4 linked regions of the Elephas maximus indicus genome follow. The protein of the gene in region 1 purifies or fractionates together with the protein of each later gene. This does not show direct contact. Links are inferred from orthologs where the notes say so. Each region holds a gene or a part of one and is shown on either strand. Other genes may lie near its edges. The genes, in order: DHX9, NCBP1, ELAVL1 and RALY.

Evidence for each region.
Region 2: the proteins of DHX9 (region 1) and NCBP1 purify together in Homo sapiens (co-immunoprecipitation; 3 studies listed by BioGRID and IntAct, with this or other methods). This does not show direct contact. The link is inferred for Elephas maximus indicus from reciprocal best matches to the Homo sapiens genes DHX9 and NCBP1.
Region 3: the proteins of DHX9 (region 1) and ELAVL1 purify together in Homo sapiens (affinity purification with mass spectrometry; 3 studies listed by BioGRID and IntAct, with this or other methods). This does not show direct contact. The link is inferred for Elephas maximus indicus from reciprocal best matches to the Homo sapiens genes DHX9 and ELAVL1.
Region 4: the proteins of DHX9 (region 1) and RALY purify together in Homo sapiens (affinity purification with mass spectrometry; 3 studies listed by BioGRID and IntAct, with this or other methods). This does not show direct contact. The link is inferred for Elephas maximus indicus from reciprocal best matches to the Homo sapiens genes DHX9 and RALY.

Annotation. Positions count from the first base shown.
Region 1 is NC_064842.1:46,177,940-46,185,759, forward strand, and holds the start of DHX9 (ATP-dependent RNA helicase A), read left to right. Parts: upstream 1-4,807; 5' UTR 4,808-4,937; intron 4,938-7,820. UniProt on the Homo sapiens protein: Multifunctional ATP-dependent nucleic acid helicase that unwinds DNA and RNA in a 3' to 5' direction and that plays important roles in many processes, such as DNA replication, transcriptional activation, post-transcriptional RNA regulation, mRNA translation and RNA-mediated gene silencing.
Region 2 is NC_064827.1:47,538,652-47,545,593, forward strand, and holds the start of NCBP1 (nuclear cap-binding protein subunit 1), read left to right. Parts: upstream 1-3,925; 5' UTR 3,926-4,293; coding exon 4,294-4,327; intron 4,328-6,942. UniProt on the Homo sapiens protein: Component of the cap-binding complex (CBC), which binds cotranscriptionally to the 5'-cap of pre-mRNAs and is involved in various processes such as pre-mRNA splicing, translation regulation, nonsense-mediated mRNA decay, RNA-mediated gene silencing (RNAi) by microRNAs (miRNAs) and mRNA export.
Region 3 is NC_064821.1:12,746,013-12,753,093, reverse strand, and holds the start of ELAVL1 (ELAV-like protein 1), read left to right. Parts: upstream 1-4,061; 5' UTR 4,062-4,192; intron 4,193-7,081. UniProt on the Homo sapiens protein: RNA-binding protein that binds to the 3'-UTR region of mRNAs and increases their stability.
Region 4 is NC_064843.1:35,559,968-35,567,492, reverse strand, and holds the start of RALY (RNA-binding protein Raly), read left to right. Parts: upstream 1-4,516; 5' UTR 4,517-4,770; intron 4,771-7,525. UniProt on the Homo sapiens protein: RNA-binding protein that acts as a transcriptional cofactor for cholesterol biosynthetic genes in the liver. Binds the lipid-responsive non-coding RNA LeXis and is required for LeXis-mediated effect on cholesterogenesis.

The sequences.
Region 1 (7,820 bases):
CCATCAAGTCGATACCAACTCATAGTGACCCATAGGACAGAGTACCTAACCTAACCTAGTGCCGTCGAGTCGATTCCGACTCATAGCAACCCTACAGGACAGAGTAGAACTGCCCCATAGAGTTTCCAAGGAGCGCCTGGCGGATTTGAACCACTGACCCTTTGGTTAGCAGCCATAGCACTTAACCACTATGCCACCAGGGTTTCCAGTACACATAGGACAGAGTAGAACTGCCCAATGCCGTTTCCAAGGAGTGTCTGGTGGATTCGAACTGCTGACCTTTTGGTTAGCAACCATAGCCCTTAACCATGACCTTACACCTTCAAACCAAGAAACCAGATTCCATGAGGTTTTGGTTGTACATAAGCAGCCTCAGCAATTGCTCCTTTTGATGCTGTTGTTGGAAACATATCTATCACATAGTTTTTGCCAATTCAGCTTTTTACAGGTGTATAGCTTATTGACAGCAATTACATTAATTGCCTGTGCAGCCGTAGTCTTAATCAATGTGATTTTTCCGTCACAGTAATACGGTTCCTTGTTTAATGCTTCTGTTCTACTTCCTAGTTCGTTGAGTATGCCTGGGGTCTTAAAAGTTTACAAGTGGCTGCCATCCAAGGTACAATTGGTCTCTATTTGCCTAGAGCAACAGAGGAAGATGGAAGTTCAGGAATAGGAGGAAGAAATGGAAAGTGTGACCAATTGTTTTCATGAACAACTGCCTCCTTTGCCATGAGACCAGAAGAACTAGATGGTGCCCAGCTACCATTACTGAATGTTTTGTTCAAAGATTCTATAGAAAAATCCTGATCAAAAGGGAGGAAATGCAGAACAGAATTTAAAATTTTCATGGAATCTAGTCTTTCTGGAGCCATAAAGGCTGGATGAACCCCTGAAACTGTTACCCTGAGATAATCTTTAAACCTTAAACCAAAAATAACCACTGAAGTCTTAAAACCAAACAATAGTTTAGCTTAACTAGTGAAGGATGTCTGCCTTGACCATTCTGTTCTTTTAAGACCTCTATGGGATTAAATTGACAACAACTGCTCAAAAGATTAGGAAATTTAGGGAGTAGTAATTTTAGGTTAATGGGGGAGGAACCACTCAGAAAAGGAGGGTAAGAATGGTTGTGCAACTCAAAGAATGTAATCAATGTCACTGAATTGTACATGTAGAAACTGTTGAATTGGTATATGCTTTGCTGTGTATATTCTCAACAAAAAAAACATTAAAAAAACAAAGGACTTGCCCTAAAAATTTATGTGTTTTAATGGAATATTTAAAAATATAAGGCTATATTGATTCTTCAACCAACTCAACATCATCAGAGCTACATCTTCATCCTTGGGGAGAAAGCAGAGGCTTGCCCATGTATCCTTGAATAAGCTTTCCCACCTTTTAAAGTATTTTTGATTAAATATTTAACATGTATAAAAGAATATCACATGTGTAAGGTGTAAAGACTAATATTTATCACATATGTGAAAGTGCCTGGTGGCACAGTGGTTAAGAGTTACAGCTGCTAACTAAAAGGTTGGTAGTACAAATCCACCAGCAGCTCCTTGGAAACCCTATGGGACAGTTCTCCTCTGCCCTGTAGGGTCCCTGAGAGTCAGAATCAACTCGATGGCAATGGGTTTGGTTTTTTTGGTATATGTGAGGGTGTAAAATATTCATTTGTTATAATTACTTTATAAGGAGCCCTTGTAGCACAATGGTTGAGCTCTTGGCTGCTAACCAAAAAGTTGGTGGTTCAAACCTACCTGTGGCTCAGTGAGAGAAACTCAATGGGGCAGTTCTCCTGAAACCTATAGGGTGGCTATGAGCTGGAGTCAACTCAATGGCACACAACAAGAAGAATTACTTTATGGTGTAGTACTGATATTTCATCAAATCTAAGATGCTATTGATTGTAAAACACCGTTATTTTACATACCTCTAAGAAAGGAAAAAACACTGACAAAGCATAACATGCCATCTAATTCCAGAGATACAAAAATGTTTTTGAGGTTTTAGAAGTGATAACGATATAGCATCTTTCCATTTTTAAAATGAGGTAACCATGACAAAGAGAGGTTAAATATCTTGAGTGGAGTTACATATGGTCTGTGGCAGAGCCAGAATTTGGAGCTTAACTGAGTGACACCAGACTATTTTACATCAAGAATCTCAAAACCTTATGTCCACTTACTATGTGTCTTTAACAATACCTCTTAGCCAATGTTATCCTTAAGATATAAACCCAGGGACCTCCTGATACAAAGAATCAGCTTCAGTATGGTACAAGGTGGCAAACAGTATAAAATGGTTGTATGGGAGGTAGAATTGCTTCATGGTTGTAAGTATGGCCTTAGATCCAGGCTGAGGGAATGTAAGGCCCAGCGCCACCACTTATCAGCTGTGTCTAAATTATACTTCAATAAAAAAAAACTAGATGGTCCAGGATTAACGAAATGAATTATTGAGTGAGTTCCTTCAGCTTGGCCTGTGTATAGTTGAAAGCTCTATGTGCAGAACAGTCCCCATGTCACCACCAACACTTGACGTTGTTCACTTTTCTAATTTTAGTTTTTAATGGGCAGGTTGTGATATTGTTTTAGTTGCATTTTTATTGTTACTGATGTTTTTGACCACCTTGAGTACACTTGGTAACCTTTTGGTTTTCCTCTTCTGAAAATTGCTTGTTCATGCCTCCTGAGGTTTAGTCAGCATCAGGTCCTCAAGCAGTTCCTCTTGGTTTGATCAGCCTCCACTCACTGGCCTCAGGCCTCTTTGGAACCAGGACCAAACACTGAATTGTTAGTGCAAGGGATAAACTACGCCTTGCATCTACCAAACTTAGGAATGAAGTCAATGTTTCTAAACTTATTTCTAGCCAGAAAGGTAAATGTGAAATGTTAAGTGGTCCAGTTGAAACAGACCTCTCATTATTTGACCTGTGGCCTCAGTTCCAAACTCTTAGGTAGCAAGAACGTTACTTATTTTCTTATAAGCTAAAAAAAAAAAAAAATTCCTACCCTGCTTTGCTAATCTCTGCAGTCTCCTAGATAGAACATCTAAGTGTAAATCCAGCCACTCTCTGGACTTCTGGGCCAGTTGAGTGCTTTCAGGTTTCATCTGCAAATGAAGATCTTAGAAGGTGCCAGTTGCCAGGGCAACCTACAATGGTAATGCCAGTTATGGGATCCAGTCCCTGGGGAGCTCTGGGTCTCAGGTGCAAAGCCTAAACTAAGAACCAAGTCAATAACAAAATTCTCCTTAATCCCTGAAAGTTAAAGATCCACTTCTGAAAATTTTATTTGCACTTAATGAAATATGTTGGCACTTTTGCTGTGTTCATTATCTACTACAAAACACTTGCAATCCATCTATGCTTGTTGATTCCTTATTAAGAGCATAAATAAGTATCAATAACACCTGCAGCTTAAGCACGCTGAAGGATACAAAAGAAAGAAAAGATTAAGGTCTTTCAATGATTTGATTCTCAATTCACATAAGGAAAATAAAAGGATGAATAAATGCTAAACTGTATTGTTCTGATTGTAAGTGCAAGAGAGTTTTAAAGAAGGAATTGATCACTATAAACTAGAAGGGTTAAGAGAAAAAATGTCATGAAAGAGGTGAAAAATAAGGATGGATAGGTATGATGCTCTCGTATTATTGATTGGTCTGTAGTCTCCAGAACAACCCCAGCAAAAAAAAAAAAAAATACTTTGTATTGTTGCCTTCATGAGTGGTGTAATGGTTAAGAGTCTTGGCTGTTAGCCAAAAGGTTGGCAATTTGAATCCACAGCTGCTCTTTGGAAACTTTATGGGGCAGTTCTACCCTGTCCTATAGGGTCTCTGTGAATGGAATCCACTCCACAGCAATGGGCCTTTTTTTTTTTTTTTTTTTGTATCTAGTCAAGAGGAGCCCTGGTGGTGAAGTGGTTAAAGCAGTTGGCTGCTAACCAAAAAGGTCGATGGTTTGAACCCACCTGCTGGCCGCTCAGCGGGAGAAAGATGGGGCAGGCAGTTGGCTTCCGTAAAGATTTAAAATCTTGGAAATCCCTTGGGGCATTTCTACTCTGCCCTATAGTGTCGCTATGAGTCAGAATCTACTGATGGCAGTGGGTTGGTTTGGGTTTTATGTAGTTAAGGATATAAATTATTCTAACGACTGTAAAGACAAGAGGATATTCAATTTAAGCCGTGTTGGTTTTATTCATTTGGGTCGTATGAATGAAGGTCCCAGCTTTCATAGAGCTTATTTCCTTCTCAGGGGATGTTCACATTCAGAGTATCTGAATCACTAGTAACTTTCATTACCATTTATTGAGCCCCTATTTTTTATACGTATGTGCCAGGTACTGAGTTAAGCCTCGTCCTTTGTCTTCTTATTTAATCACTACAGTCCAATGAAATAAACACTAAAATTTCCAGTTCTGTCTAAGAAGGGCGTCTCTCTCACCAGAGGCCCTTATCACATAAACTGGGAAACATCTTGTTGCATTAAAAAGCTAAACACCTCCCGCCGTCCCCTCCCTAAAATATTCAAAAGCATTAAAACTAGCAGCTATGCAATGGCGCCCTAAGCGCAGCAAGCTCCCAGGCGGTAAGATGAACGCCGCGCGAGGCTGCAGCAGGCCCGCCCCGCCCCCACCCGGGCGTCCCGCCCCGCCCCCACCCGGGCGTCCCGCCCCGCCCCCACCCGGGCGTCCCGCCCCGCCCCCACCCGGGCGTCCCGCCCCGCCCCCACCCGGGCGTCCCGCCCCCACGCTCGCCCTCTGCGCATGCGTGCGTGCACTAACCCCGCCCCTCTCGCGACGGTCGGAGCCATTTCGCCGCCGTCTCCATGCTGGTTGGGGTGCGCTCTGCAGGCGTCTCTGTGGAAGGCCGGAGTTACGGGCAGCCCTAAGCGCGCTGTGCTCTCGGGCACCAGAAGGCGAAGACTGGTAAGGAGAAGATACACTTCCCATCCTTTCCACTCTGCGGGGCGGCTGGCCCAGAGGCCCTGCGGCACTGCAGCCTGGCTTTGTTGCGTAGCGCGGGTGGCGGCGGCGGGTGGGGGAAGGGACGAACGGCCCTGCGAGTCCCCGGATTGCGGATTGTGTGCGCTGCTCGCTGAGGCGCGCTTGCGCAGTTCGAGGCCGCGCTGTGGGCCGCTAGTCCTCCGCCCAGCTCTCCCTTCAGCCTCTAACGCGCAACCCCCGCTTCCTCCATCAGCCTTCGAACGCCGGTGGTGGCGCTGTGCCGCTAAGGGAGAGGGGGGTGACTTGTCTACTTCTTAGCCGGCGGAGACCCCAGGCAAGGCCTAGCGCCATTCATTCGTGCCGCAAATATTCGTTGCTATCCTACAGGCACTCTCATGGAGCAGTAAGCAAGTTAGAATCCTTGCCTTTCCCTCGAGAGGTTGCGGGGAGGGGCAGGCGATACAAAAATGAGTATTTGCAGGCTTTTGTAAAAAATAGTAATCAGAGTGTAAAGGCAGAGAGCTGCTTGAGATAGTGTGGCAGGGAAATGGGTCTCGGACGAAGTGGACTTTTGAGCTGATAACTGAAGGCCGAGAATGCGTCATCGAGATGCGGAGGCAAAGCAGAGCTGCAGAAGGGATTAGTTAGCCGTAAAGCCAGAAATTGGAAAGGGGCTGAAAAAAGAAAGGCCACGTAACTGGAGTGTGGCGAGAAGGATTTAAGAATAGATTTTAGCAACACTGGAAAAGGAAGCCATTTTAAGACTCTATTGCAGTACTCTGGGTGTGCAATCGTGCTGGCAGGGAAAGATGGAGAGAAGCGAATGGGTTGGAGACATTTTGGAGGCAGAATTGCATAACGGTGGCAGATGGCACATCTGGAGTCAGACTGCCAACCTTGCTTGGTATTCTGGCTGCTCCAATTACTAGTTGTGTTTTCTAGGGTAAGTTATCCTTTGTGTTAGTGTCTTCGCCTGTAAAAGGGGAATAATGATTAAAAAAAAAATCCCATTGGGAAGTCGATTCCGACGCTTAGAGACCCGAAGAACTGCCCCATAGCGTTTCCAAAGAGCACCTGGTGAATTTGAACTGCCGACCTTTTGGTTAGCAGCCGAGCTCTTAACCACCGTGCCACCAAGGTTCTAGAGCTGTTTTTTAAAAAAAACATTGCCCTTGAGTCGATTCCGACTCGTAGCAGTAGCAGTTCTGTAGGATTATATAAATTCATGAAGATGATCCTCTAAGATACTGTGGCACATAGTAAGGGCTTTCAAAGGGGTTGCTGTGGATACTCCTGAGGAGTGGATGACTCCTAGATTGTGATGAAAGAGGTGGATGATGGTGCCGTTATGGAAATGGGAAGGAAAGATAGAGACAAGTTTGGGGAGGAAATTTAAAATTCGGTTTTTCCTCTTGGGTTGCAAAGTAAGCATTCAAATGAGTATGTTAATACTGCAGTTGGATGAATTATGGTTTTGGACTGAGCTTTCGGTACATATTTGGGCATCATTAGCATATAGTTGGTATTGAATATCTTGGGGTTAGATGAGACTATCTAGGAAGAAAGGAATTTGGTAGTGTAGTCCTTCTATTTCATGATACCGAGCCACCCTGAGGGCTTGTTTTTTAAATTAATCTCGGGTGGAATGTACAGCTAGGTATATTCAGCTTTTCGAGTAGGGTGGCCCTTCACCAAATGACTGATCAGGATTACCCTGTGGCCACAGAATAAATCTAACCTTACACCAAGGTCTGGTTTGATTACATTAGATTTAGGTGTTAACAGATGTACCAAGCATGAACAGAAGACAGAGGTTTAGTTTAACACTGGTAGTAGAGATTTCTCCTCACAGCAAACAAATCATAGGATATTTTCTCTGGTTCTAAATACAGACTCATATCTTGCTTGTAATTCAGATTCAGGTGCCAATAATCTGGGGTGCAGGGGGAGTGCCAGCAAGTATGATGCTTGTTCCAATGTCTTGATACAATTCAGGAAAACTTCATCATCAAGTAACAAGGCCTGAAGGACACATTTGGTACTCTGCCCCCTTACATTCAGACAACAGACTTTTTTTTTTTTTTTTTAAACAAAGTAATGAGAGGCAACCAGAGGATATTTAGCAATTTATAAGTAATAGCAAGCATTTATGCACTTGGCAAAGGGAAAATTAAAAGGTCGACTGCTCCCTGATAGTGTTCCTTACATTGTTTCCATTGTTAGAGTATGAAAAAGGATTCGTTCAGTTATCTCTCTAATGCGTTAAGCAATTTTTTTTTTTTTTTTAATTTTGATATTTGGTACAAGTATCTTAGGAACAGAAGTGAGTTACGTGGGAGCACTTTGAACATTGGGCTTCAGAAGGATTGAAGTGATGAGGCAATTTTAGAGCTAAGAGTGGACATGAGGGACACTTCGGAGGCATGTAAACATTTACTGAATACTGACTGTATTTGGACTTTATATACATGTACACATACACATATGTGTATCTTACACCCTTGAAGGTAATCTGTTAGCAGTCATATCAGAATGGTAGCAAGCCGTTTGTTTTATATACGATATGATTGATTTCTTAAATATAGTAGTTTGGGTTTGCGTTTAGGACGCCACAGTGGGTGTCTTGGAAAAGTTGCTTGACTTTTCTAAGCCCTAGTTATTTTCTCTGTTTAAAAGCAATTATGGTATTTATATAATAGTGTCTACCCTAGCTATCATTCGTAATGAAAATTGAGTTAAAATACATAAGGTGATTGTTGTAGAAAGTAGAACATTCCATAGAGGTATTTTTTTTTTTTTTTAAAGATACAAAAAAGTCAGTCACCCAAAGGTAGCCATTTTGAAGTGTTTCTTTTCAGTCTTGAT
Region 2 (6,942 bases), on another chromosome or scaffold:
CTTCTTCCTCAGAAAGCCTGAAACAGTCACCCTACCTTTCTAGGCTCATCTCAGGCAACACTCCCCCTCACATACTCTGCTCGGCCACACTGGACCTTTGCCTAGTTCCACAAGCAACCCTTGCTTTCTCCTGGTTCAGGATCTTCACACACGCCTTTCCTACCACCCCAAAATGATCTCTTTCAGTTACCACCTAATTTAGTTTCATTTATTTATACACTTTAACTATTATTTGTGGACATTCTCCTGCGTGTCTAGCTATGTGCTGGAGATGAAGTTCTGAATGAAAAAGTCAAAGTCTCTACTCACTTGGACTTTATAGTTTAGAAAGGGGCAAAGGACAATAAATAAGTATACAAATAACCATAAGACCTCCAAGACTATGGCCCTAAGACACCCCTCTGACTTGGAACTGCAGCCATTCCTGGAAACCACCTTCCAGCGAAGGAATAGACAGGCCTAAAAAATAAACAATAACACCCAAAAAGAATACACTCCATAGAATAAACAATTATACAAGACCAACAGGGCAACATATGCCCCAAAAGTAAAGATGAAAGGGCAGGAAGGGGTAGGAAAACCAGATGAAAGGAAACGGGGAACCCAGGGCGGAAATGGGGAGAGCGTTGACACTGCGAGGATTGCAACCAATGTGTGGAACACTGTGTATGCGATTTGTTGAATGGGAAAATACTTTTCTCTGTAAACTTTCACCTAAAACAATAAAACATTTTAAAAAATAAACAAACGTGAATACCAGATAGTGGTAAGTGCCACTCCTTCTCAGTTTCCTTTGCTGGATCCTCCTAGTCATCCCAACCTTTAACTGTTAAACTTGCATATCTGTGCCCACTCCCCAGGTGATCTCACCTAGTCCCAAAGTCTTAACAACTACATTTGCTTCAAAATAATGGTGGAGGTTGGGGGGAAGAGCACATTAACATAGGTGAAACCAGACTGGCCTTGAGTTGATAACTGCTGAAGTTGGATGATGAGTACATGAGGGTTCATTATATAATTTTCTCTACTTCTGTAAATACATCCACTAAGAAAGAAAAATAAGAGAAACAACCAAAAATTTATGTTTAGTATACCACACATCGGAGCCCTAGTGGCGTACTGATGAAGAGCTTGGCTACTAACCAAAAGTTCTGCAGTTTGAAATCCACCAGTCGCTCCAAGGAAACCCTATTGGGCAGTTCTACTCTGTCCCATAAGGTCTCTATGAGTCAGAACTAACTTGATGGCAAGAGTTGTATCTGTTTGTTTTTTGGCTTACATATTGAATGACCCCAAATTTCTATCTCTAGCCTGTACCTCTCTCTTGAATTCCAAATTCACAGATTCAACCGTCTACTGGATAGCTTTAGCTAGATGTCTAACACGTTTTTCAAATGGAACTGTTCAAAACTGAACTCTTTATGTACTCCTCCCAACCCAAACCTGCTCTTCCCAGTCTTCCTCACCTCAGTGAAAGACAATCCTATTCTTCCTGTTACTCAGGCAAAAAACCTTTGGGATGATCCTTGAGTCTTAATTCTCTCACACTATCATCCTATTCAGAAATCATTCTGTTCAGAAAATCCTATCAGCGTTGCTTTTGAAATATAAACAGATCAGACCATTTCTCATCACCTTCATTACCACCCTAGTTCAAGTCACCATCATTTCTTGCCTGAATTATTCCAACAGCCTAATGCCCTCCTACTGTAGCAGCCAGTGTGATACCTATAAAAAATAAGTAAGATCACCCTCCAAGGCTTCTCGGTTTTTGCAGATAAAGTCCAAAGACTTTGCCATACTTCTCCCTCCCACAACCTCTCTGATCTTATTTTCTACTACTCTCCCCTTGCTTCCTATTCAGACTTCACTGGTCTTTTTGCCCATGCCTAAATGGGTCATGGGAACCCTGGTGGTGTAGTGGTTAAGTGCTATGGCTGCTTACCAAAAGGTCAGTGGTTCAAATCCACCAGGTGCTCCTTGGAAACCCTGTGGGGCAGTTCTACTCTGTCCTATAGGGTCGCTATGAGTTGGAATCGACTCGATGGCAAGGGGTATGGTACTGTACGGTAAATGGGTCATTAGAATTTTAGCTCCAAGAGAGCTGAGGTTTTCCTTTGTTCACCACTATATTCTCAGCATCTAGAACAGTCCCTGGTACATAAACCAAACCAAATAGATGTCATCGAGTTGACTCCAACACATGGCAACCCTATGAGTGTCAGAGTAGAACTATGCTCCATACGGTTTTAAATAGCTGATTTTTCAGAATGAGATCACCAGGCCTTTCTTCCAAGGCACATCTGGGTGGACTCAAACCTCCAATCTTTCAGTTAGTAGCCAAGCTCATTTACTGTTTGTACCACCCTGTGGCCATGTCTGGCACACACCCCCCCCCAAAAAAATACAGTGCCCTCGAGTGGATTCTGACTCATAGTGACCCTATAGGACAGAGTAGAACTGCCCCATAGAGTTTCCAAGGAGCACCTGGCAGATTGAACTGCCGACCCTTTGGTTAGCAGCCGTAGCACTTAACCACTACGCCACCAGGGTTTCCGTCTGCCACACAGTAAGTGCTAAATACAGTATTTGTTGAATGACTGAATGAATGAAATAAAACAGCAACGCATGATCTCGTGGCAGGGACAGCTAACTTATATTAGGTAGCCAGGGAAGATCTTACTAAGAGCCTGATGTTTGAGCTCAGACCTAAATAACAAGAAGTTAGCCACACAAAGATTTAGGAGCAGAGACCTTCTGGCAAAAGAAAAAGTTGAGTGTAAATTTCTAAAGTGGGGCCAAGCTTGACTTATTGAAGGAACGGGAATAAAGCCAGGGTGGTTGCCGCACAGTGATGAGAAGGTAGAAGAGTGTACGCCATGGTTTGCAATTCGCAGTGGAAAGTCACTGGAGAGTTTTATACAAGGAAATAGCATGGTCTGATTTACATTTTAAGAATATCTTTCCGGCTGTTCTGGGGGGAAAGGACTGCAGGCAAGGAAAGACCCACGGAGGCCAGTCGGGTTAGACATTCATCAGGGCAAGAGATGACGCTTGCAGCAAATGAAGAAAAAATGGCAGCAGTGGAGAAATGTGGACCAATTCTGGATTTGTTCTGGAAGTAGAGCCAGCAGGAGATACGGGTAGATTGTTATGCAGAAGTGAAGGAAAGAGAATTCTAGAATGACTCCAGCCTACATTTTTGGATTAAGTAAATGGATGGTGCCATTTTCTGAAATGGGTAAGCCTGAAGGAGGAATAGGTTAGGCCAGGAGGATGAAACAAGACTTCTATTTTCGATTGTGAAATTTCAGATGGCCATGGACGAGGCAGTCAGAGAAACCAGTGTGGTGCTCGGAGAGACGTCAGGGATGGAGATGTTCATATACACATACACAGTCGCCAATAGCTAGTGAAAACGATACTGAGAACGATCAACTTGTTCGTCCTTAAACCAGCCACTCGTCGAGGTGAGAGGTAAGATGACAGCCAGAGGGTGAGCCCCGGAACCGGAGGCTCGCGTCAGGGCCGCTCCTCCCATCGTAGGGGGCGACACGTGCGGCTCCGCTCCCATCCCGGCCCCACCCCGCACGGTGGGCCTGGCCTAATCTGTCCGCCCAGCGTTCCCGAGGCACAAGACGGGAAGTGGGGGTAAAATGAGCACGTACCCGCCAGTCGGATCTATTCTTGGGTCTTTCTTCACTGAACTGTGTCCGCCTAGCAATGGTCACTCACTGCACTTGGAACCTACAACCCCGGTTGTGTGTTTACGTAGGGACGAACGCTCGGACGTCACCTCGCTCCGGAAGTCTTGGTGGCCGTTAGCGAAAGGGCCGCCGGGAAAACCATTGAGAGGACCCGGGGGCGGGGCTGAAGCTGAGGCTGAGACTAGAGAGTCTGTCCCAGCCGCCCGCCGCCTACATGCCTGGCTCGCGGCCGGCGGGCTCTGACTGGCTGAAGCGGAGGCGGTTTGTGCGTGGCCCCGGAAGGACATAGAGCGACTGGCGGGAGGAGGAAGCGGCCGGGAGGCGGAGGAAGGCTGAGGGGGGTGGTTGCGTGCAGACCACACGTCGGCTCCTGGTTTGCCTCTAGACGCCGTCTCTCCCGGATCCGAGCCCGCCGAACCCTCTCGGCCGACCCTCCTTGGGTTTTCGGGAGCTGGAGCGAGCGACTGCGCCTGCGCGCCGGTGGGTCCGCGCTCCTCGCCGCTGTCCTCGCGCCGGCCGGCTGCTGGACGGTTCCTGCCGTGCCTCCTGCCCGGCGTCTCGGTTCTGAAGTGCACCGGCGTGCGGCATGTCGCGGCGGCGGCACAGCGACGAAAACGATGGTGAGTGCCTAGAGCCTGGCCGCCAGGGCGCGCTCCGGTGGGAGCCGAGGTTTGCCTTCCTTGGCTTTCGAGTCTCGAGGGAAGGAACGGCAAGCCCTTCTCTCCCGGGAGCGTTCGCGGAGCCACGGAGGATGGCGGGGCGGGGGTGTGGCTGGGCGGATTCGGGAAAGCTTCGTGCCAGCCGCAGCGCCTTTGGTCGTCGACCGATGGTGGGGAATGAGGCTTGGTGAACCCCTGGTCTATAGGGACTCTTCAGAATTTGGCCCTCGACATCATGTCTGTGCTGCCGTCTCAGAGAGCGGTACCCACTGGTACCAGGCGCTCGTTTTGATCCTCAAAGCTTTATCTGAAAATAGCTTTTTCAAGACTTTACTGAAGAAAAGGAACAAAGCAGTGACTGAGAGATCGGGTGAATTGCAGTCTGAGCTCTACTCCTCTACTGTACATCCGTTGATTTGCCTTCTTTCGAGCTGGAGAGAAGAGATTTTGTGTCTTCACCCAAGAGGTTACTCACTAATAAGCAGATGTATAGTATTGCATTAGATTTTAAGCTGACTATAAACATATTTCCATGGCATGCCGGAGAACTAGCAGGAGAGCTCTTAGAGATTTAGAGTTGGGGTTCCCGTCTTCGTTTGGGTGGTTATACTTATGGGGGTCACGTTGTGGCCGTTGTAAAAACTTAAGAATTTTACTAGTAAAAAAAAACAGCAAAAGTTGCTTACATTCACATAAGCATTATGAAAATCAGTCAAGAACACACATCCACAGACAGAAAGACATGAAAGATTAAGTCTGTTATTGATATTTGAGTGCATTATTTGCTGAAGAGGGTGTAGAGTAATGGTTGAGAGGCCAGGCTTTGGAATTGGGGGTATAGGTTACAAGCTAGACCCCACGATTTACTTTGGGGTTTTGCCCAAGTTATATAACCTTTTTTCACTCTTAATCTGTAAAATATGAACAACGCTGCTTACCTGTTCTGGTTTTTCTGAGGGTTAAATGAGATAATTCATGAAACAAATGGCTCGTAATGATTTTTTTTTTTTCTTTTTACTTTATCTGTTAAGGCTTAAGTGGTGATAAGCAGTGGCAGATGCCCACAACGTAAGGAAAAAATAAAGAACAAAAATTTTTAATTCAGTACATTTTCTTCTTGAATATTGGGGCAGTTAGAGGTGAGGACAGAATCACAAATCTGAAAATACCAGATTGCTACTAAGGTATGGCTTGAGAGGATTTTCTGGCCCAGCCTCCTCAGACACCCAAGGGTACAGAGACTTAGTGTAATTAACATGGAGACACAGCAAGAAGTGCCCAGACACCAGCTAAAGCAAGTTCAGGGCTCTCTCTACTACACAGGTGTTATTGTACTGCATGCTTTGATTTTAACACATGGAGTCTTCTTGTGTAACATGCATAAACTAATCTCAACAACTCAGTGCCGTCGAGTCTATTACGACTCATAGCAACCCTATAGGACAGAATAGAACTGCCCCATAGAGTTTCCAAGGAACATACATACAGGACACAAAAACTACAATTTTTGTGTACTTAGAATTTGACTAATCCAAAAGTATTATGTTTGAAGTCATCGCTTAGGGTTTAGAGAACATGAGTCTTTTGTTCTTCCCATTTTCTTTGTTCTTACGTGTTTCTCTACCATTCCTCTCCCTCTCCCTTCTAAGGCACCCCTAAAAGGGAGGGAAAATGAGTGTATAATTCAGTGACATTGTTTTTAACATTGGCTGGCACTAAATGACTGTACGTTTGGACCTTGCTGCAAGAACCTCAAAGTAAGTAAGTACAGACAAAAAGAAGGAAAACAAGGAATTAAGCAAAATTCACTATGGCAGATGATTTAGTAATGGAGGGACAATTTATAGTTCCTCCTTATAGTACATCAAATTGGGAACTTTGTAAATTGCTACAGTATGGGTAATGATTATTAGAGTTTACCTTAGACAGTGACCTGAATCAAATATTTTGAATGCTTTTTTAATTAAGCTTCTACTAATACTTTTAAATGACAAATATTAAAAGCTTCAATATTATAGAAGGATATTTTGGTGGCGTAGTGGTTAAGTGGTATGGCTGCTAACCAAAAGGTCAGCAGTTTGAATCCATCAGGTGCTCCTTAGGAACTCTATGGAGCAGTTCTACTCTGTCCTATAAGGTCGCTATGAGTCGGAATTGACTTGATGCAACGGGATTTTAAAAATAAACTAGGGATTGCTAAAGTCAGAATTAGATGGATATAGCTGAGCATTTCTGGATTATTATCAGCTCTCATCACCCACTGATAGCCCTGATTTTCCGTGTGTCCGGCTGGGTATAATCATTTATTCAATAAATATTTAACAGTACTGGGCACTGTTCTAAATACTGGCAGTACCTCAGTAGATAACATAATGGTAGAGCCTCCATTCTTGTATAGGGCTACAGACAGAAACGATTAGGTAAAATATCATGGAGCATATGGTGATGAATGCTTTGAAGAAAAGTAGAATTGAGTATAGGGGATAGAGACTGTGCTGTGGGGGAGAAATTACTACATTGAAACCCTCAGGAGCCTGAACTCAAAGAGACTGCCTTGTTTTCTAGGTCTCGCAAGT
Region 3 (7,081 bases), on another chromosome or scaffold:
TCTTTCCAAGGTGTGCAATATGCAAAGGGGGAAAAATCGAGTAACTTTATAGTGGAGAAAAGCTGACAAACAATGCTTCAGCTATGTGATCAAGGTTAACACCAGTGGTCATAAGTAATGTTGACAGTGTGTACTTTTGATAGGATGTGATGACAATGGCACTTTACCTCTGTGGTCTTCCTCCCAATAACCCATTGCTGCTGTTAGCTGATATCAAGTTGGTCCCCAACTCATGGCGACCCCATGCACAATGGTACAAAACGCTGCCCAGTCCTGTGCCATCCCCATGATCAGTTGTGGATAGGACCGTGGTGATTCACTGGGTTTTCACTGGTTGATTTTCAGAAGTAGATTGCCAGGCCTTCCTTCCTAGTCCATCTTAGTCTGGAAGCTCCACTGAAATCTGTTCAGCAAGTGTTACGGATGGAATTGTATTCCCCCAAAATGTGTGTCACCTTGGCTAGGCCAAAATTCCTAGTATTGTATGACCATCTACCATTGTGTTATGTGATATGATTAGCCTATGTTTTGCAACTCCTACCTCTATGATGTTAATGAGGCAGGATTAAAAATGAGGCAGGATTAGAGACAGTTAAATTAATGAGGCAGGACTCAATCTATAAGATTAAGCTGTATCTTGAGCCAAGCTCTTCTGAGATATAAAAGAGTGAATCGGGCAGAGAGGAAAGAACCTCATGCCACCAAGAAAGAAGTGCCAGGAGTGGAGCATGTGCTTTGGACCTGGGGTTCCTGTGCTGAGAAGCTTCTAGACCAGGAGAAGGTTGATGACAAGGACCTTCCCCCAGAGCCAACAAAGAGAGAAAGTCTTCCCCTAGAGCTGGTGCCCTGAATTCGGACTTCTAGCCTCCTGGACTGTGAGAGAAAAATTTCTGTTTGTTAAAGCCATCCACTTGTGGTATTTGTTATAGTTGCACTAGATAACTAAGGCAGCCAGACAGCAACACATCGTCTTGAGTTGTGGGTTGTGGCTGCACATGACGTGCACTGGCCAGAATCTAGCCTGGGTTTACTGCATGGAAGGTAAAAATTCTACCACTGAACTACCAATGCCCTCAACCCTAGTCTTAATCATTAGAAAAACATCAGACAAATTCCAGTAGAGAGGTTCCTATAAAATACCTGATCAGTACTCCTCAAAACTGTCAAGGTCATCAAAAATATGGGCACTGCCACAGCCAAGAGGAATCTAAGGCGACATGGTAATTAAACGTCATATGGGATCCTGGATGGAATCCTGGAACAGAGAAAGGACATTAGGTAAAAACTAAAGAAACCTAAATAAGCTAGGGCTTTAGTTAACAGTTATGTATTGGTATTATCTCATTACTTTCAACACATATTAAGGTAAGATGTTACTAATAGAGGAAACTGGGTATAAAGTATATAAGAACTTTCTATATAAATTCTCAACTTTTCTGTAAATCTAAAACTGTCCTACAAAAATAAAGTCTATTACTAATAATGGAGCGCTGATGATGTAGTGGTTAAGAGCTCGGCTGCAACCAAAAGGTCTGCAGTTTGAATCCACCAGCTGTTTCTAGGAAACCCTATGGGGCAGTTCTACTCCATCCTATAGGGTCGCTATGAGTCAGAATCGACTTGACAACAAGGGGTTTGGGGGTTTTATTATTAATGATAATTTTTTAAGTATTAATGAACAAATGAAGGACTTCATTCTTCATCATGGTGACAATCATAGCTACCATCTCATATAACAATTGAAAAGATGACGGGGGAGAACACATGTCTGAATCATCTAGTGCTGCTATAACAGAAATACCACAAATGGATGGCTTTAACAAAGAGAAATTAATTTTCTCACAGTCTAATAGGTTAGAAGTCCAAATTCAGGGCATTAGCTCCAGGGGAAGGCTTTCCCTCTCTTTCAACTCTGGAGGAAGGTCCTTCTCATCAATCTTCCCCTGGACTAGGAGCTTCTCCTCGCTGGAACCCCAGGTCGAAGGGAAGCACACTGCTCCCGATGCTTCTTTCTTGGTGGTATGAGGTCCCCAACTCTCTGCTTGCTTTCCTTTCCTTTTATTTTTTGAGAGATAAAAGGTGGTGCAGGCCACAACCCAGGGAAACCCCCTTTACAATTGGCTCAGGGATGTGATTTTAGTACAGATGTTACAATCCCACCCTAATCCTCTTTAATATAAAACTACAATCACAAAATGGAGGACAACCACAAAATACCAGGAATCATGGCCCAGCCAAATTGATACCCATTTTTGGGGAGATATAATTCAATCCATGACAACACACATAGTTTTTAACATGCAGTATGCATCCATTTCAGAGTACTCGCTACTGTTGTATTAAACTGGTGCTGTACACTACAAGAAACACTAGTCCTATGTGGGTATTTACATTTTAATTAATTAAAATTAACTAATTCAATTTAAGTTGGAAATTGGTATTAGAAACCAAGATCTGGGCTCTAAGTGTCCTTGTTGCTATTGGGGTATTGTTTCTTCTAGACCATCAATGCTTTTTAATCACCCAGAATGCACCAGGTGCAGGCGCTTAGACCTGGGGATACAACAGTTCCTCAGTGCCACTGGCCACATGTCAAGCACCCAAAAACCAAATGGCTACAGAACTGGACAGCAGAGGTATAGGACCTACTCATTATCGCAGAAGCCTTTACTGGACAGTGTTGCACTAAACAATGAAGAGTGTAGTTATCTGTTCAGTGTCCTCAGCTCTTTCAGGTCTTCCTGCAAATGCCATCTTCTCATACTGAGGCCTTCCCAACCACCCTCTTTTAAATTGCAACCTTGACATTCCCCATTTCCCTTCCCGATTTACTTTTTATCTTACCACTTTTCCCCTCTTTGTTTCTTTTCTGTTTCTTCATCTGGCACTGTGTGGTCCGAAAAGGTAGCCACCAGCAAGATGTGGCGGCTGAGCCCTTGAGATGTTGTCAGTCCGACTTGAGCTGTGTTGTGAATGTAAATACACACTAAATTTTGAAAACGTGGGAAAAAAAAAGACCTCATAATTTCTTATGTTGATTACATATCAAAATAACAATATTTTCAACACAATGGGTTAAAGAAAACACATTATTAAAATTACTATGTTTCTTTTTCTTTTTCAGACATGGTTACTAAACCAATAAGAAAAACAAAAGCCAAACCCACTGCCCTCTAGCCAATTCCAACTCACAGCAACCCTACAGTACAGAGCAGAACTGCCCCATAGGATTTCCAAGACTGTAAATCTTTACGGAACCAGATTTCCGTATCTTTCTTCCACGGTGCAACTGATGGGTTCCAACCACTGACCTTTCAGTTAGCAGCCGAGCGATTAACCACTGAGCCACCGTTACTACTAGAAAATTTAAATTACACAAACGGCTGGCATTTGTGGCTCCTTTATATTTCTACTAGACGCAATCGTCTAGAATGTCAGCCTAATGAGAGTTCATACAGTGACTGGCTTATACTAGGCACTCAATAAAATCTTAAAGAATGAATGTTAGCCGGAGCCTCTGGGAACCCGTTAGCTCTCACAGCCCACACTGCTGGAACTCTAACAACATCCTGGGCCCCGCCTCCTCGCCCCACCAGCTAAGGAAACTGAGGCCAGGTGAGATGACGTCAGCCCTTGCCCAACGGCACGTAGCGCGAAAACGCGGCGTCAGGATTCGAACCCGGGACCTGTCCCTTTCCCTTTGGTGCGATGACCGTTCCTACCTTGCAGGGAAGCGGGGTAAACAGGAGCGGGACACACGATGGACGCCCGACAAGGAGCGCCGCTCCTCGACCCACCACCACTCTCTGCCAGCCCCGGTCTTCGCGGGGCTGGACCCTCAGCTCACCCCTCCGCGGCCATCTCCACTGCCCCCGTCTCCGCCGGCCGCCGAGCCCTCCGCAGGCGGCGCCGACCGGAAGTTCCGCCTCCCCGCGCGCCTGGGAGGCCGCGACAGCTGCGCCGGCCAATGGGAAGCGCGCCGTGACTGGAGCTGACCAATGGGTGCACGCGCCGGGGGGGCGTGTCCGCGCCGCGGGCCGGAGCGGGTCGTGCGCGCTGAGGAGGAGCCGCCGCCTCGTCGCCGTCGCCGCCGCCGCTGCCGCCGCTACCGAGGCCGAGCGGAGCCGTTAGCGCCGCGCCGCCGCCGCCCGCCCGCCCCGGAGAAGCCCCGGGCCTGCCCGCCCGCGCCCAGGTGAGGCGGGGGCCTTCCGCGGTGCCCCGCGAGGTAGGCCGCGGCAGGCCTGAGCTCGCCTGGCCGGGCCCCGGGCGTCCGCGGGCCTGCACCGGCCGAGGCCCAGGCCGCGCCGGGCCGGGAAGGAACGCGCGCGGGACGCGGGTGTGCGGGGGGCGGCCGGTGTGGGCGCTGGCGACAGAGCCCGGGCCGGATTCCTCGGCCGCCGCGAGGGGCGGGCGAGGGGGTACACGGCGTGGGCACGCGCCTGGCGGCCAGGCTCCGCGGCCGGGGCCGAGCGCTGGGCCTGGGGCCCGGCAGCCTTGGGAGCCCGGGATCCGGGGGCGGGAGAGTGAAGCCAGAGGCGGGGGAGTTGGGTGAGCGCGGTCTGCGCACTGAGGTCGCCCGCGGCCTCCGAGCTCGCTCCCCCGGGAAATCCTCCAGATTCTTTTGTGGTCGTTGTCAGAGGCCAGCGACCGATCTGGGGTCTTTTTTGAAGTGTGCAAACCTTTCGGTGTGTACGGGAGTCCCAGGAAAATGTATTTTTTGAGCGCCATCTCTAACAAAGCTGTTTATGGGGCGTGGGATGTTCGGGTTTGTAAAATGTGTGTTGAAAACACAAACTGCACGCATTTGAACAATGGGGCATGGATGCTCTGGCTTCCTTTTCCGGTACCCTCTGCTACTAGGCTTATTAAAATGGGTTCTGGTACCTACTGTGTGCAGGACAGGTGAGGAAGAACTTCTGCACTGCCCCTGGAGGAAGAGTCGCCCTGACTGAAAGTATTCTAGTGGGAGCCGATGGCTTATGCTACAAGAAGTGGGAAGCTGGGGAGGATGATGGGACTAGAGAAGGGTTTCTTAACCAGGGCACTATTGACGTTTTGGGCCAGATAATTCTTGCTTGTGGGACACTGTCCTGTGCATTATAGGATGCTTAGCAGCATTCTTGGCCTCTACCCACTAACCACCAAAAAAAAAACCCATTGCCGTCGAGTCAGTTTTGACTTATAGCGACCCTATAGGACAGGGTAGAGCTGCCCCACAGGGTTTTCAAGGCTGTAATTCTTTACAGACGCAGACTGCCACATCTTCCTCCGGTGGAGTGGCTGGTGGGTTCGAACCGCCGACCTTTTGGTTAGCAGCCCAGTGCTTAACCACTGTGCCACCAGGTCTCCTCTACCCACTAGATGCCAATAACATCCTTCCCTTCTTTTTCAGTTATGAGGCTCAGAAATGCCTCGAGACATAGCCAAATCCCCATGGGGGCAAAACCACCCCAGGATGAGAACCACTGGACTAGATGATCTTCCACTGAGTCCCTCAAACCCCATCCTTCACTCTTATGCCCTGGTGTTCAAGGCTCCCAAGAGCTTGGATAAGCTGAACTGTGAGAGCCTTGGTTTCCCTGTCTGTAAAATGGGAAGGACAAGAATATTCTTGTGCAAATTTGAGAAAACAGTTTGAGAAGCCCCTAGCATTGTGCCTGGCCTGTGCATGGTAGGTACTGAATAAATGACGTTCTAAATAATTGCTGATATTTATTGAGAATGTACTGTGTGCTTAAGACTCCGTGGACATTTATCTCCAGCCTGTGAGGTAGGTACTGTTATAATTTCCATTTTACAAATGAAAGCACCTAGGCTTAGTTGAGTCACTTGATATGACTAATCTCACTCAGTAAAATGGCCAAACCAGTATTTGAACTCGGGCCCCTGACTCAAAAGTTCTTACTCTTAACCACAGGGTTTCATTGCTCTTGTATAGGTAGTCCCCAACTTATGACAGGGGTTATGTTCTGACAACTCTGTCGTAAGTCAGTTCCGATGTATGTCGAATATTTCATTTTTTTAAAAGTTTTCATCATTATTGCCTTTTATTATCAGTATCCTTGTAAATCATAATATTGAATGTCTGCAAGTGTGCACCTGAGAATAACAACAGCAAATTATGTGCTGCAACGTTGTATGTAGTACACATTAATAATATGTGCAAAAAAAAGCAGAACGACAGACAATGGTAAGTGCAGTTTGTTGATGGTAAGTGCAGTTTGTCGTAACTCTAATACGTCATAAGTCCGGGACTACCTGTATTCACAAGGGTTCATGAGAGCCCTAGAGGCAGGGTTTCCAGGAATTGCGTTTAGTTGTCATTGAGCATCAATTGTGTGCAAAGCTCTGCTGGAACCCGTTATAAAATCTCACGACCTTTGGGTCCAGTAAGAGGCTGAGACACACGAACATCTCTAAATGTGGAAGCAAATAATGTTTATGCTGACGGCTGGTCTTGAGCGGGGGCAGAATTTCAGTTGAGATACGTTGAGTCTGAGGTCAGGGACCAGCAAGTGGGATATGAGAGGGAATTATGAAAATGCCTTCTTCCTGACCCTTGCTTTATTGCTTCTCGCACTGTGACCATCTATCTTCCTGCATTCCATCCACGCTCTATCCACGCTGTAGCAGGAGTTGTCATATTAAAACATAGGTCTGATCACATCATTCCCAATTAAAAGTCATTGGGTGGAAAAACATAATTATAAGTGCTTTGACGTCTTTGGGTGGCTTACAAGATAATGTCGTGAGCCCTGAGCTGGGGATTCCAGGTGTTTCACACTTTAACCCTCCCTTCCTTTTGGACCTCATTTGCCCCGACCCCAAACTCTGACCCTGTTGGCCTTTTGCTCCCACTGACTGCTCTCCTCCTCCTGGATATTTCTTCCTCTTGCCTGCATGGCCCAGCGCAGTGCCCACTCAGGACTTGAAGCCCCCTCAGACTCCCACGCTTCCTTTACCCCCATCCACCAGCATCAGCTGTTCCTTGTGTTCCTACCCCATTCAGTTTTTGAATCAAATTAAAGCTCAGTGGTGAGAGAAGTGCAGTTACTACCTGTCACCCCTAGATGGCAATAGT
Region 4 (7,525 bases), on another chromosome or scaffold:
CGGTTGGGAGTGACTCTGGGGCAAGTGGGGTGAACATCTATTACTTAAACTGCTCAGAACCATGAATTCTGTCTTAGTTTGCTGGTGCTGCCATAACAGAAATAGCACAAGTGGGTGGCTTTAAAGAACAGAAGTTTATTTTCTCACCCTTCAGGAGTCTAGAAGTCTGCATTCAGGGTATTGGCTCTAGGGGAAGGCTCTTTGTTAGCTCTGGGGGAAGATCCTTGTCTCTTTCAGCATTCCTTGGTTCCTTAGCAATTGTCACATGACATCTGCAATGGACAGAATCGTGTTCCCCCAAAAATGTGTTGTAAATCCTAACCCCTATACACTTGGAGGAGCCCTGGTGACGCCGTGGTTGTTAAGAGTGTAACTGCTAACCGAAAGTTCTACAGGGTTGCTATGAATTGGAATTGACTTGACAGCAATGGGTTTTTTTTTTTTTTTTTTTTTTTTAATACGTGGATATAATCCCATCTGGGAATAGGGTTTTCTCTGTTATGTTAATGAGGCCATATAAGTGTAGGGTGTGTCTGAAGCAAATCATTTTTGAGATGTAAAAGGAGCTGTTTCAGCGAGAAGCGAACAAGAGCAAATAGAGGGGAAGATTCATGCCACGTGAAAATCACCAAGGAACGTAAGCTGAAAAGAGACAAGGACCTTCCCTCCAGAGCCGACAGAGATAGAAGGCCTTCCCCTAGAACCAGAAAACTGAACTTGGACTTCTCTAGCCTCCTAAACTGTGAGAAAATAAATTTCTGTTCATTAAAGCCACCAACTCGTGGTATTTCTGTTACAGCAGCTCTAAGAAACTAAGACAACAACTATCTTTCCCTTTCTGTACTTGCTTGTGTGTCTGCTGCTAACATAACTCAAAAGCGATATGCCTAAGGTTCTGTATGGTCAGTGGCAAAAGGCACGGAGGAATACCTGCCTCCCGGGCTAATGCACTTTCTGGTGGGAACAGCACTACCTCCTTCCTGCCTGCCTGATTGGGAACCCTCTCTTGGCCCCTCCCTGACTGGGGTGAGGAGTAGCCAGCCCTCCTAGCATTGTCCCAAGTCCAGTATTACAGTATAGCCAGAGTTTAGTGCATCAGTTTCCCTATCTGTAAAATGGGACCTGGAATAGAATGGTAATTCTCAAACCATGTTCTGTAATTTGTGGAGGGACCACTGCATAAGGAGGGTGGTTCGTGGCTGGGTGGGGAGACTAGCAAACAGGACTCTGGGTTCCTTTCCCTCACTTCATGCAGAGCCGCCCCCTACCCCAATCTGTTTTATGCATCGCCTTTCTGAGAAAGGTCTTGCTTAAAAGAAGGCTCTATAGCTTTAAAGAGTTTAAGAACCCCTGGATAAGGTGTCTTTGAGGACCTTTTCAGTTCTAATAGCTCATGATTTTACAAGTTACAGAAAAAAAGAATAGCTTTCATGATGATATGACTGCTATTTTGAGTGTCTGCTCCTATGTCAGGCACTATGCTAAGTGCTTTACATATACTTGTAAAAAAAAATTCCTTACAACACTGGGATGTAGGGAATTAATCATCCCCGTTTGGCAGATAATGAAACTGGGACTCCAGAGTAAAGTAATTTGCTCAGGATCACACAGCTGGTAGGTAGTGTAGTAGTAGAGAGGGCTTTAACCCAAACTGACTAGAAGGACAAACTACCAACTCGGGCAGAATCCAGGTTGGAGATATGTCCTTTGGCCTGCACAGTGCTTTTTTACTTCTTAAATTTGAATGAGTTGCCCACATTAAAAAAACCAAGCAATTTCATATTAAAAAAAATGGATTTAGGGGTTTTTTGTTTGTTTGTTTTTAAGAAAAGTGGAAGATCTAGTAATACCGGGAGCCAGTCTTCCCACATGGCAACAACTGTTTGGGGCTGAGTAGCAACTGCCTCCTTTAGGAGGGGCACGAACTCCCCCACTTGCCACAGCCCTCACTATACCCCACTACTTACACCTTGCCCACTTGTCTCATTTTTTTTTTATACTGGCCCTTTAGGCATTTGAGTTTACAACCCCTGCCCTAATGACAAGTCTGTGTCTTCAATGGCTTTCTCCATCTAGATCCCTCTGCTTCCATCTGCTCTTTTTCTAGCTCCTGCTGCTTCTCCCCTATTACCTCTCTCTCATTTGCCCCTTCCTCTTTATTCACCTGCCTTCATTCTTTGTCTCATTTGAAGACACCTGTTGGATCCCTTCATTCTTTCCCCCATCCCCTCAAACCCATCTTCCTAATCTCAGCACAGGTATCTCTACAAACATCATTGTCAAATCTCTGAAGGGGGATGTGGACCATTTAGAGGGAGCTCAGAGGGCAGAATTAATTCCAATGGCAGGGAAATTAAGTGGTTGAATGCACGCCTCAGAGAGCCCTGGGTTCAAATTTGAATTCCTTCACCTATCATGTGTGGGACATTGGTCATGTCACATTTTCTTATTGTGAAATGGGGACAAAAACAAAACCAACCTTGTAGAATTGTTTAGAGGGTTAAACTTAATGTTTTAAGTCTGGCACAGAGTAGGGGAGACAGACAAAAACATGTAGAAAGACAAATAAGAGACATAACTTTGAGATGCAATAAATGCCATGAGGAGAAGGAACAAGAGGCCAAATGAGAGAACATAGATGGGGAGTTCAGGCAAGGCCTGAGGTGATATTTAAGCAGAGATCTGAAGTATAAGAAAGAGCCGAAAGTTAGAAGAGGTGGGGGAAGAACGTTCCAGACCTTGCTCTCAGTATCCCCATCTCTCTAGTTTGATTACTTTTCCTTCTGGGAACAGAAGTCATCAAATAACACAATAAATTATAACTGCTGGTCTGGCAGAGCCAGGCTCTCCATTCAAACCGCTCTGAGAAGGAAATTCTGTTTCTCGGCAACAGGAAGGCAGGTTTTGAGGGGAGAGATGTGAAAAATACAATCAGGAAATCATAGGCCAGGTTGGAGGAGGCACAGATTTGTCTGGCCAGTTTTTAGCCTTGAGGAAAGTCTATAGCCGATGACGGAAGGACACTGGTCCTCTTGTGCTCTCAGAAGACCCTTCTGACTGTTCCGTGGAGGCTGGAACACTAATCCAGGTGAGGAGGGATCCCGACAGAAGAAATGTTTGAGAGAACCACCACCCAGATCATATTATAAAACATTTCTTGCACCCCAGAAGGATAAAAAACAAAACGAAACACACAAACCAAACCTTTAGCTAAGTCAATTCAGGCTCATGGTGATCCCATCTGTTACAGAGTAGAGCTGTCCCATAGGGTTTTCTATGGAAGCAGGTCACCAGGCCTTTCTTCTACAACACTGCTGGGTGGGTCTGAACTAACAACCTTCAGTTAGTAGTCTAGCGCAAACCGTGTGCACCACCTATGGACCTCCTAAAAGGGCAACCCACTGAAAAAAAGACCCCACCGCCGTGGAGTTGATTCCAGCTCATAACCACCCTCTAGGACAGAGTTGAACTGCCCCATAGGGTTTCCAAGGCTGTAAATCTTTAGGAAGCAGACCGTCATATCTTTCTCCCGCGGGACGGCTGGTGGGTTAAAGGGACTTGAATTTAATCTTCCAAGGTGGGGGTGGTACCTCATTCCCAGACCCACCCTCACCGCAGCCTCTCCGCCCAGTCCTGGCCTACACAGCGAGGGGTAGTCTTTACTTAGTCCAAACACGTGGTTCCTTGTAAGTGTAGAAAAACCTGATGCTTCTCGATTTCATCTCTCCCGGATCCCTTGAGCATCACCCCCGACCCACCGGTTTAGGCCCATCTTCAGGCCCCGCCCACCTCAAGCACCACCCCCTTGGTCCTCCTTTAGGTCTCACCTCCTTCCGGCTCCTCCCCAGAGTGGGCTCTATTGGCCCCTCTCCTTCCTGCTCTGCTTCCGGGCCCGCCTCCAGTCCCGCTTCAAGGCTTCCTCTCTTCGGGCTTTCTCTTCAGCCCCGCCCCCGGCCTCCTCCCCTTCTAAGGGCCCCGCCTCTTTCCAGCCCCGCCATAGCCTCCCTCCACCCTCACTCCTCCTCTGGAGACGGTCTCCCTTTGCCCCGCCCACAGCTCCTTCTTTCAAGCACTGTCCTGGCTCCCGGCTCTCCGAGGCCTTCACTACCTGCCTTGACGCTTCTCCAGTTAGGGCATCACCACCCTCTTAGCCCCGCCCCGCCACCGGCTCCGTACTGGTTTAAGCGAATCCTCCTTCCCTCTCCTAGCCCCGCCTCTTCAGGCTCCCACCTCATTCCCTCCTCCCTGTCAGGCTCCGCCCTGAGCCCTCCTTCCTTTTCTCCCCGCCAAAGCTCTGGACCTTTCCAAAGCCCGGCTGAGCGGGTGGGGAGAGCACAGGCGCTGGGAGAGTCGGGCTGTGTCGGGGCGGGGCTGCGGACTCCACGTGCGAGTGTCATTCATTCCCTTCCCAGGAGACACAGGCGGGGAAAGGGAGGGTCCAGGGCCGGGGCCGGAGCGGCGGGCGGGGCCACGCTGAGGGAAACCTCTTTGGGCGCCCCCACCAGCGCGCGCCTCAGTGGTGCCGGCCGAAGGAAGGACTTGCAGCTGCGGGGCCAGCGCCACTGTCAGTGCGGCGGGGCGCGCGAGCGGTGCGGGCGCAGGGCGGGCTGAGGCGAGAGAAGCTGAGGGGGCGGTAGCGGCGGCGACTCTCGTGCCTGTGCTCAGCCTCCTCACGCCGCCTTCCTTTCTCCCTCCCTCCCTTCCTCCCCCGAGTGCGGCGGCACCGCCTCCTTCCGCGCCGCGCGGCTTCCTCCAGGGCTCTCGGCGCGGGTGAGTGGGGGCCGCGGGCGTCTTCTCGGGGGTGCGGGAGGGGGATTCCTCGCTCCTTCTCGGTCGCCCTCCTCTTCTGGCCGGCCGCTCTCTATTTTTAGAAACTCTTTTTCCGACAATCCAGGGAGTCCCGAGAGCCCGAGGAACTCCAGGCCCCCTTTGCCCGCACCTCCCCCGGCCGGGGCCCGCCGCCCCGGGCCGCCCTCCCTCGCCCGCTCCGGGCCGCCCGGGCGTTCCCTGCCCGCCTCCTCCCCGCGGGCCGGGTCTGGGCCGGGAGTTGGCGGGGTGGGCCCGCGCCCGCTCGGAAGTTGGAGTCTTTTGTGCTCGCGCCCCGCCCCTCCCGGCGACGGGCGGAGGGAGAGGAGCCGAGGCCGCGCCGGAGAGGCCTTGGGCGGGTTCGGCCCTGGCTCTGGCCCTGGCCTCCGGCTTTTTCCGGCTTCCCTTCCCGGGCTGGGCGTGCGGGCTCCCGGAGGCGCAAAAAACTGGTCCTGCTTCGCTCCCCACGGGTCTGAGCGCCTCGGCACCCACCTCTGCTGGTTGCCTGTCTCGGGCTTGGAGGGGAACAACAACGGGCCCTCGACCTGGGGCCATGCAGCCCCCTCGAGGCCGAGCCACAGTTTGCCCCTCCGTGAAATAGGGGAAAAAATGAATCTCGCATCGCAGGTTGTTTTGGGGAGTAGGGGGAACGGATATATGAGGGAAGTGTTTAATACCAACAGGTAACATTTAACGAGACTTGACCAGTGCCAGGCCCCTTGCCAGGCATAAATTTTACTTCATTTAAGGCCCACAAGTCTTTTGGGGTTGCCCCATTTTACAGAAGCAGAATTCAAAGTGTAGAGAACTTAAGTAGAAATAATTTGCTCCAAACTACCCAGTTAGTAGCTACGGAAATGTAAGGCAATGGTGCTGATACCTGTTATTTATTTCCTGGTATGAGCTTGTGTAATCCCGTAGTGCAGAGGGGATTATGACCGGGTCAAACTATTAGAAGCATAACTGGGTTTTCCCCGAGTCCTGGGCCAGTGTCCTATACTATAAAAAATAGGCATGAAATCCCATTCTGGGACTACCAGAAACTCCGTGGGAAAGGTCAGGATGAATTTCTTGCTCGTGTTGCAGCTAGAAGTTGGTGGATACAGGAGATTCCAGACCTCAAGCATAACTGAAGTTGCTGGGGCTTCGCCTCAAGGAAGGCTTACATCTTTATAAATAATGAGGTCCGTCCTTTATTTTGTCGATGGTATGCTCCTTCACCATTGTCTTCCCTCCTCCCCCTAACCTTGCACATTCTCTATATAGCATTTAATGGATTTTAGTTGAGGGGAGCAGGGAGTGGAGGCTTAAGTCATCCGCTTCAACTCCTAGCCTTCAAGCAGGGTTTTATTTTCAGATAAGGCCCAGAGGGGTTAAAGTGAACTAAAATTAACTTTGGGAAGTGCTGAAGTTTTCCAGTATGTTTGATTCTGGGTGTTGGGAGTCTGAAAATCAGGCAGGAGAGTTCCGGGGCCAGGTCTGTAGGAGTCTTTTAGAAGAGAGTTTTATCCTGATGTTCCCATTGGTCCTTTGGAGTCTGATGGGTCGGCAGTGCTCTCCCTCAGAGGTTCTGAATTTAGGAGTCATGGTATGTAGGAGCTGGAGGCGTTCTCACAGACCATCTTGTCCAACTTTCTGATCTGCCTTTTCCCCCTTCCCTAGTGACTGAACCTTGGGAAGGGGAAGTAAGTTGTCTAAATTCACAGATGGCCTTAGTGACAGAATCAGAACTAGAATTCCCAGTCCAGTCATTTTTATTTATACTATACCGTGCCGCCTATGAGAGGGCTTGAAACCAGTAATCAGGCCTGAAGTAAATGGAAATCCCAAGGAAGTTGTGTAGTCCTAGCCACTCTCCATTGCTTCAGGTTGAACATTAAAAGGAGGCCAGGTTTTGTACACAGGTGTACCAGTTCTTATAAGTGGCTGCTTTTATTTTTATAGGACTTCTATGGTTTATAGCACTCTTCTGTAACCATTATCTGATTTATAATCCATTTCTGTGAGAGGATTCACAGAGCTTTGTTTATATCATCTTTTTAGTATAAGGAAATTGAGACTTGGCAAGGTTAGGCCACTTGCCTTAAGTTACAGAGTTAACAAGTGATGGAGGCAGGACATGTCTCCTGGGCAGTGGATTTGATGTGGCATCATGAACTGAGCCACTCATCATGGCTGTCAGCTCACAGGGGGTTATGAGCAAATGGCTGTGAAAGTGCTTTGTACTAGTAGTAATAACAGCTAATATTTGTTAAGCACTTACCATGTATCAGGCATTGTACTAAGGACTTTCTGTGGAGTATCTCATTTAGTTCTCAGAGTGATAGTATGAATTAGATACTATTATTATCCCTGTTCTACAGAAGAAGAAACAGGCTTAGAGTTACACGATTTGCTCAGGGCCATGTTAATTGCCAACTGGCAGAGCCAGGGTTCTAACTGCAGACAGTATAACTTCAAAGCTGGCACTCTTAGTACTTCCCTTAACCACAGGGTGCTCTGTAAATTCAAACTGATTATTAGTCCTCGTCTGCAGCATGTAGCACACAGCCCCAGAGAGCAGGTACCCAGGCCTGGTTGTACCTCTGGTTAAACTTCTTCCCTTTTTCCCCCACTTTGTGGACTGAAGCTCCTTATCACTAAAGCCTTTTTTTGGAGATATCTGCTGGCCTCTTTTGTGTCTTCAGAAGAGACCTCCTACCCTTGGAAGTACAGCCGG